Linked DNA regions of Oryctolagus cuniculus. The protein of the gene in region 1 binds, or shares a complex with, the protein of each later gene. Links are inferred from orthologs where the notes say so. Each region holds a gene or a part of one and is shown on either strand. Other genes may lie near its edges. The genes, in order: NUP58 and NUP62.

Region 1 (3,804 bases):
AAATATTTCCTGTAAAAGTGAAGGAGGTAGAATTTGAACCAGGTATTCCAAAGTGGGATACGGATATCCTAAATGGCAACTTTACTACTGTACCATATACCCACTCCTATTCAGCAATTTTGACCTACTTAATTGTTGATTTGTAAGGGTCAGAAGTCAGCACTAGGCATTAAAACAGCAGACCCAATGGTCTCTGTAGTTAGAGTATAGCAGGGCAGGAGAGGGTCAGAGAGATAAAATGTAAAGCTACTGATGTCTTGTTTTCAAGGAGCCATTTGGTGACAGAAGGATAAACACTTTGCATAAGCCTTGCCTGCTTTAAGATTCATTTAATTTTGAAGATGAAGGTGGTGACCTGGATTAAAACATTTTTTTTTACTGCTTTCTGGAATCAGCTATTTGGTACCATTCTAATAACGATCCAAAGCCTTTATTTCTGCCAGTGATTTTTGCTGTGAAGTTACTATTTCTCTTTATTCTTATAAGTATGTATAATTTTATTTTTAGCAAGCAGTTTTTCCAAAGTCAATTCTTACGGAAATAATTTTTTGTTTTGTTTCTTGGGTTTTTCTATGGTGTTCTTAAATACTGTTGCCTGTAGAAGGCTTATTGTTTCAATTTTGTAGCATCCACAGGGTTTACTCTGAATAGTTTGAGTGGAACAGCAGCCACAACTACAACTGCATCCACAGGCCTTTCTCTAGGCGGCGGCTTAACTGGTTTGGGAGGTTCGCTTTTCCAGGGCACAAACACAGCTACATCAGGTAATTGATGGCACTTATTCTTCAGAATGGTAAATTTTTATATTTAAGTTTAGTTTATCCTTCTCTTGGCCTTTTGTGCAGATTGCTTGTTCTTTTTACTGAGTTATAAAATGTTTTTTATATATAATTCAACATCTTTGCTGTATTTTAGAAATACATTTTACTCTTTTCTCAGTATTCTCTGATTGATTAGGAAGTGAAAAGAGCCTGTTTAATAGGGAGCCTGTAAACTGTTCCAGAGAATCTTGTCTTATATATTAAAATAAGTGGCAGTTAAATAATCTTGGTACATTTACAGCTTAACTCCCTTGTCAGGCAGCTTGCTTTTAAGTCCCAGATCTAGGAATGGCTTTCCATTAAGGATGTTTTAGCTCTTTCAATGAAGCTGGAAATGATGTTTGTTTCATTTGTAGGACTTGGACAGAATGCTTTAGGCTTGACTTTGGGAACTTCAACAGCTACTTCAACTGCAGGCAATGAAGGCCTTGGTGGAATAGATTTTAGCAGTTCATCAGATAAAAAGAGTAAGTAATTTTATGTTCTAACAGTTTGGGAACTTACAGGTTACTAAAAATTCCTGTTTTGAAGAACATTTGTTTTTCAGTAGTACAGTTTTTACTTTTAAGTTTTACATTATCTTCATGTGTCACAGATTGCGTGTGTGTTGACTGTTTAAGGTTTTATGTTTATAGATAACTTAGATTTGAATGTACATGTGGTCTTTTAGCTATCAATATGTATATTGATATATATTTTAAAAAAGGATCATAGTATATATATTGTTATGTAATCTATTCTTTGTCATATAATACATTAGAAGCATTTGTCCATGTCAGTAATTCACTTAGGTGTTTGTTCCTATTTTTTTACTTTGTAGAGAAGTAAGAGAAATGAATAAATTAAGCTCCCTCTCTTTCTTCCCTGCCATCATCGCCCTGTACTCATAGCATGCCTTCGGTGGTGTTGAACAAAGAGAATACATAGGGTTGGATGGTCCCAGTTCTCCTTCATCTGTTACTCATGTCAGGGAATTCTCTTCCTTTTCTCTCTTCTCTTCCATAATATAACCAGTTTCTCTTTTTCTCTAGTAGCTCTGTGTTAATCAGTTAGCTTTGGATGGCAGTTATCAGTGGGATTTAATCAGGTAAAGTGGTAGGAAGCAGCATTCAGTGAAGAGGGACCAGCATGGAGCAAGAGGCCTATTAGAGGTGAGATGGACTGGTAGAATTGTAGGTGTGTCCAGGGACCAGAAAGGTCACATTCCAGAAGTCCTGAAGAGCTTTGTGTGGTACGTTCAGTTTTGTCATTATATTGAGGGCATTCGGAATCTACTGAAGGGTTTTTGTATTGTTTTATTTGAAAGGCAGAGAAAGAGGCAGGCTAGAATATCGCATTTGCTGCTTGATTCCCCTTATGTCCACAAGAGCCAGGCTGAAGTCAGGAGCCAGAAACTCGATACAGGCCCCTCACATGGGTGACAAGGACCTAACTACTTGATTTATCACCTGTTGTTTTCCAGGGTCCGCCTTAGTCGAAAGCTGGAATTGGGCAGCTGGGACTAGAACCCAGGCATACCAATAGAGGATTTGGGAGTCTTAAATGATATCATAACTGCTATATACCAGATGCCTATCCCTACTCAAGGATTTTAAAGAGATTTATATTTTAAGATTAAGAATGTTGTGACAGTCATGTAGAAAAATGTAGAGAAAGGCAAGAATAGATGTGGGGAACTATTAGGAAGTTTTGTAGTAGTTCATGTCTGTTACTGAGGCAAAACTAGATTAATTTCTGTTAATCCAGAAATAAGCCCAAGTTTTATATATACATACTTGTGAGCACATACATTTATAAAGTATAATAAACAATATTAAGCAATACATTAATTTAGAAAATGATGAATTATTTTGAAAAACAAAATTATTTTTATTACTGTCTTATCAAATCTAAAACATTACTTATAAAAGATGGGTGCCAGTTTCAGAAATAAAATACAGAAAAATAAATTATAGTCAGCTGAAAGAGGTAAAAAATGAAATCTCATATCCAAAGGTGAAATGTAAAAGATTGAAAGTAAAATGCTTTATTTTTTTATCCATGTTAGCATTGCTGAAGTCAAGATGTTATTAGTCTATTTTAGAAATTACAAATATATGAAATTGATATCTGAGAGAATTAATCTGTTAAAGTAGTTCATAGAAATCAGTAATAAAAACTTACAAATCATGTGAGTAGGCAGTTCACAAAAGGAGAAGTATATTTGCCTAATAAGCATTTGAAGAGAATGTTTTACTTCACTAGCACCATAAAAATATGAATTATGATTATGATGAAGTGACATGTTTTACCTACATGACCAGCAAAGTTGTTTTTTTCTTAAATATGTACATTTTTGTTCAGGGTGTGATGCAAAAGATACTCTTACTCAAGACAAATGAGAAGGTTCATTGGGACAATTGTTTAAATAAATAGTCAGGTTGGAGCAGTTCAGGTCATTGGATATGGTATTCTGTTCTAAAAGGACCTTAAAAATTATCAGGTAAAGCCGGCGCCGCAGCTCACTAGGCTAATCCTCCGCCTTGCGGCGCCGGCACACCAGGTTCTAGTCCCGGTCGGGGCTCCGGATTCTGTCCCGGTTGCCCCTCTTCCAGGCCAGCTCTCTGCTGTGGCCAGGGAGTGCAGTGGAGGATGGCCCAAGTGCTTGGGCCCTGCACCCCATGGGAGATCAGGATTAGTACCTGGCTCCTGCCATTGGATCAGCGCGGTGCGCCGGCCGCGGCGGCCATTGGAGGGTGAACCAACGGCAAAGGAAGACCTTTCTCTCTCTGTCTCTCTCTCTCTCACTGTCCACTCTGCCTGTCAAAAAAAAAAAAAAAAAAAAATTGTCAGGTAAACCTACCAGGAGTTCAACTGGGAGTCAAGGCTGTTTCTTCATGGAGTATAGTTGAGAAAGGAAGATTCTTGCCCTTAAAAGTAGTAGATGCAAATGAGTTATACAGCCTGTCTGTTTATGTGGACAGTTATTGCCATATTATGCTAT
Region 2 (4,422 bases), on another chromosome or scaffold:
CACCCCGAGAAGCCGCGTGGCCCGGAGTCACCGTCAGCCCGCGTTCCACTCAGGTCCCGGACCTGCCAGCGGGGCCCCGGGGCAAAAAAAAAAAAAAAAAAAAAAAAATGAACTCTCCGGGCTCCTTTCTCTAAACAGAATAAGTTCGCTGTATCCAGAACACAGGCGCCCGCGTCCTGGTTAGGGGACCCTGCTCGGCCTCGCCGCACGTGGTGGACGCGGGCATTCGGGCCTTGTTGCCCTCCCCGACCCCTGGCCTCTGCTCGCCCGGACTGCTTTTCAGACAGCACTCGGCCGCCCCCCACCCCTGCCTGAAACGGGGGGCGGCGCGCACTTCCGGCCGGTTCCCAGGAGGGCGTGAGGTTGGGGGCCGCCCTGCCCCAGCCCGGTGGGTCCGGGGCTGTTCTCTGCTGCAGAAGACGCCTGCCTTCCTACCCTGCGCCCCTCCACCTAGAGGTCAGCCCCGGTTCGTCCGGGATCCGGCCTGTCCACTCTGAGCACGTGGTCTCCGGCCGGTCTTCCCGGGCCGAGGTCTCCCGTGGTGGGGGGTGTGTTCCGGCTCCATGGCTGCCCTGGGAGACTTGGCCGGTCTCCCCCACTTGCACGCGCAGGTGTTGGTGGGGTGGCGGCCACGCCGCTGGCGTGGAGGGGGCACGTTCCCCCCCCCCTTATGCACGGGGAGGGGGCACGTAATCTCGCCCCCCGCCCCCTTATGCACGGGGAGGGGGTGTTTAATAAGCCGTGCTTGGGAGTGATGGAGGTTGACAGGGAGGTTGAGAGGTGTACAGCGAGTCTGTGTGGCCTCGCCCAGCGCCCCCGCGAACGTGGTCCTGTGGCACGTTAGTCGCCAGCCCGGGCCAGGAGCCTCGGCACGCCGCCCTCCCTTCACGCCTGTCCCCTCTTCCCCGTTGGGCCTCCACAGCCCCCCTGCTCTGTGGCGGTGGCCCCACACTTGGCCTTGACCGTTTTGAAGACCGTTCGGTACTTTATGGAAAATGCTTCAGCTTTTTAAAATTTATTTGAAAGGCACAGTTACAGGAGGGCTACTGCATCCGCTGGTTCATTCTCCCAACGGCCGCAGTGGCCAGGGCAGAGCCAGGCTGAGGCCAGGAGCCTGGAGCTCCGTGCAGGTCTCCCCCGCGGGTGCAGGGGCCCAGGCGCCCGGGCCGTCTTCTGCGGCCGTCCCGGTGCATCCGCAGGGAGCTGCAGCGGAAGTGGAGCCGCCGGGGCTCGGCTCGGCGCACGGATGAGACGCTGGCGTCATGGCGCAGCTTGGTACGCGGCCTTTGAGGGGGTGGCTGGGTGGGCTGTTTTGAATAACTGGAAGTGCAGATGCCCACCAGGAGAGCCCCGCGTCCCCCCGCCCCCAGCAGCTTGACTCAGTGGTGCTAAGTGGACGCCAGTTAGCGCCCTGCGCTGCTAGTGCGCGGGTGGGGCCTCCGCAGCTGCCTGCCACCCGGGTCGTGGTCTCTGGGGTTGGGGCGCTGGCCCCTTCACTCCTGGGCCGTGGCTGCTGGGACTCCTTTTTTGGTGCGGAGGCACCTGTCGGGGAGTGAGGCGGCCGATTGCAGGCAGGTTGCATCAGCTGTGGCTCTTTGCTGGGAGGAGCGAGAGGATTCTCTGGGGGCCCAGGAGCACCTGGCAACGGCTAGGCTCCCTCCCGCTTAGCCCTGCATGAGGGAGAGGCCCCACGCAGCCTGGTAAGGGGCTCGGAGGGGGAGGGGACCAGCCCCTGTGTGGGGCCCCAAGAATCCAAATGGAGCCTCGGGCGTGGGCCAGCTGCGGAGACCAGGCTGAGGCGCCAGGAAGTAGGAGAGGCGCGCAGAGCCCACCGTCAGGGCCCGGGGCCCTGAGCGGGCTCCAGGCCTGGACCTTCAGCTCACACCTCAGGTTTGCCGAGCTGTGTGGATCCAGCCTGCCCTCCCCTGTCACCTGCGCTGTTGCCGCAGCCCCCCGTGTTTCCCAGTCAAGGTAGCGCTTGGCGTGATGGAAAGGGCCCCAAGTTTTGCATCAGCCAGGACCCAGGTTCCAGTCCCGAGCCTCAGCACGGGTCCGAGCCAGGCGGCCCGCACACCTCCCACCTCCACCGCGTCTGGGGCCCGGCTCAGTGGCCCAGGAGAGCTGCCCTCCTGAGCAGGGCTGGGGGCCGGAAGTGGGGCGGGTGAAGCCCAGCGCCGACGGGGCGCAAGGTCTGTGCGTGTTCACTCATCCCGCTCCGTCCACACTTTGTTCTGTATTGGAGGGCAAGGTCAGGCACCTCCTCCCCAGAATTGTCCCTCACGGCCCCAGGCTGCGACCTTGGAAGTGGTCAGGACATTTTTGTAAAAGATTTCTTTTTTTTTTTTTTTTTTTTTTTTTAATTTGAAAGTCAGAGTTACACAGAGAGAGGGAGAGGTCTTGCCTCTGCTGGTTCACTCCCCAATTGGCCACAACAGCCAGAGCTGCGCCGATCCAAAGCCAGGAGCCAGGAGCTTCTTCCAGGTCTCCCATGCAGGTGCAGGGGCCCAAGGACTTGGGCCATCTTCCACTGCTTTCCCAGGCCACAGCAGAGAGCTGGATCGGAAGTGGAGCAGCCGGGTCTTGAACCAGTGCCCATATGGGATGCTGGAGCTTCAGGCCAGGGCGTTAACCCACTGTGCCACAGCGCCGGCCCCCAAAAGAGTTGTTTTTGCGCAGAAGTTGGAGATTCAATACAGCGGCTGCTGCGCAGGGTCAGGGAGGGTAGCAGTCACGCAGACCAAGGGTGCAGGGGCTGGGGGTGGGCGTCCTGGCAAACAAGGGCAGAAGGCCAAGGCCAGCTCCGCTGCAGAAAGGGCAGCGTGGGGGTGGGCAGGCGGTCAGGCTGCCACGTGGCCGGCGGCTCAGAGTCCCCGCAGGAGCGCTCACAGCCAGGCCAGGCCCCCGCTGCCGAGCTGGCTGGGCATCCTTGCTGTCACCCTCTCTCGGTTTCCTGTTCTACTGTCACAGGTTGCCACGCACTTGGCTCCCTTAGAGCTCTGGAAGGAGGGGACTGAGGTGGTGCACAGCGCTGCGCTCCTGGGGCTCGGGGCAGACGCTCGTCCCCAGCCTGCGAGCCCACCTGTGTCCTTCAGCGGGGGCCTCTTCCTCACCTCCTATCGTGCCGTCGCCTGGCTCCCCCATTGCTCCTCCTGCCTCTCCCTGGAAAGACCTGCGGGCCTGTACGCAGGGCCCGCCTGGGTAACCCAGCGCAGCACCTGTGACACGGAGACAGGAGGAGGGCGGAACTCCAGCTGTGGACTGGCGAGGCCGTTGTGCCGCCTACCCTCCTCCCCGAGCCCCAGGTCCGGGCCTGGGATAGAGGACAGGGCCAGTTCTGGGTTGCTCCGTCCCTTGGCTGCTGTCACTCGCCCTGGTGGCCTGTGCTGCTGTCCCCTCCAGGGAAATGGGGGTGCAAGCAGAACCAGCACCTGGCTCAGCAGGTGAGAGCTGTCCCCCCAGCCCCGTGGGCCTGTGTCGGGGACACAAGGAGTACCTGGGCCCCTGGAACGGCGCAGGTGATGTCTAGGGCTGGCCCATGGTCCAGGAGCGGCTGGTTCCACGGAAACGGAAACGCTGGATTTTTTTTTTTTTCCTGTGAGATCGCAGTCTCAAAGGACAGCGAGTAATTCAGAAGGAACGCGGGAAACCGCAGCCGGTTAATCAGCCAGGGGCTCTGAGCCGGAGGGGCTGGGCGCTCCTGTGGTTGGCACGTGTCCCTGGAAAGGCCTCACAGGACACTTGGGGCCCCCTGGTGGTCCCCCCCAGCAGGTGCATGGGCAGGGCCCTGGGTTCCCTGACTCCTGCCCACCCTGCCACAGCTGGAAGAGTTGGGTGGCAGACGAGAGCAGGGCCCCTCCTCACTCCAAGCCTCTTGGGCCCCAGGGTGGGAGTCCCCTTGGATGCCTCTGTGAGAGCTGAGCTGCCCCAGGAGGTCGTGCGACGACCTGGGGTGTCACAGAGGGTGGGTGGGGTGCTGTGTGGCACCGAGGAGAGGCTAGCTGGGAGCCGGGCTGTGGTCAGAGTCCTAGTGAGCTGTGTGACTTCGGGCAAGGTCCTCAAGTTCTCTAGGCCTCGCTGCGCTTATCTGTGAAGGGGGAGTGACCCCAGTTCCCACCAGTGCAGATAAAGCCCGGAAAAGAGGACCTGTGTCCCTGAGATATTACTGTAGCCATTAGACTGGGGCAGAATCCGTCACCCTGCCCCCCACGCTGGCTGCTTTCCCTGGTTCCCAGAGAAACCTCTCCATGGCAACCCCTCCCTCCCTCCCCCGCTGACATGGTGCCTCTCCCCTGGGGAAGCAGGTGTTGATGAGTGAGGCGGGGTCTTGCCCCGACACGGCCCCTGCCCCCTGCTTCAGCCCCTCTCCAGGTCTCAGTGTGCTGTGCCTGCCCTGGTGGCCCCGATTCACTGCGGGGTTTCAAA

The links.
Region 2: NUP58 (region 1) and NUP62 share a complex: the UniProt entries of both Homo sapiens proteins name them as parts of the p62 complex. The link is inferred for Oryctolagus cuniculus from reciprocal best matches to the Homo sapiens genes NUP58 and NUP62.

The regions. Positions count from the first base shown.
Region 1 is NC_091440.1:95,338,487-95,342,290, forward strand, and holds part of NUP58 (nucleoporin p58/p45), read left to right. Parts: intron 1-626; coding exon 627-764; intron 765-1,177; coding exon 1,178-1,288; intron 1,289-3,804. UniProt on the Homo sapiens protein: Component of the nuclear pore complex, a complex required for the trafficking across the nuclear membrane.
Region 2 is NC_091449.1:7,660,472-7,664,893, forward strand, and holds the start of NUP62 (nuclear pore glycoprotein p62), read left to right. Parts: upstream 1-1,564; 5' UTR 1,565-1,674; coding exon 1,675-1,700; intron 1,701-4,422. Other genes in the region: collagen, type I, alpha 1b-like, read right to left, coding at 1-431, 1,208-1,264. UniProt on the Homo sapiens protein: Essential component of the nuclear pore complex. The N-terminal is probably involved in nucleocytoplasmic transport.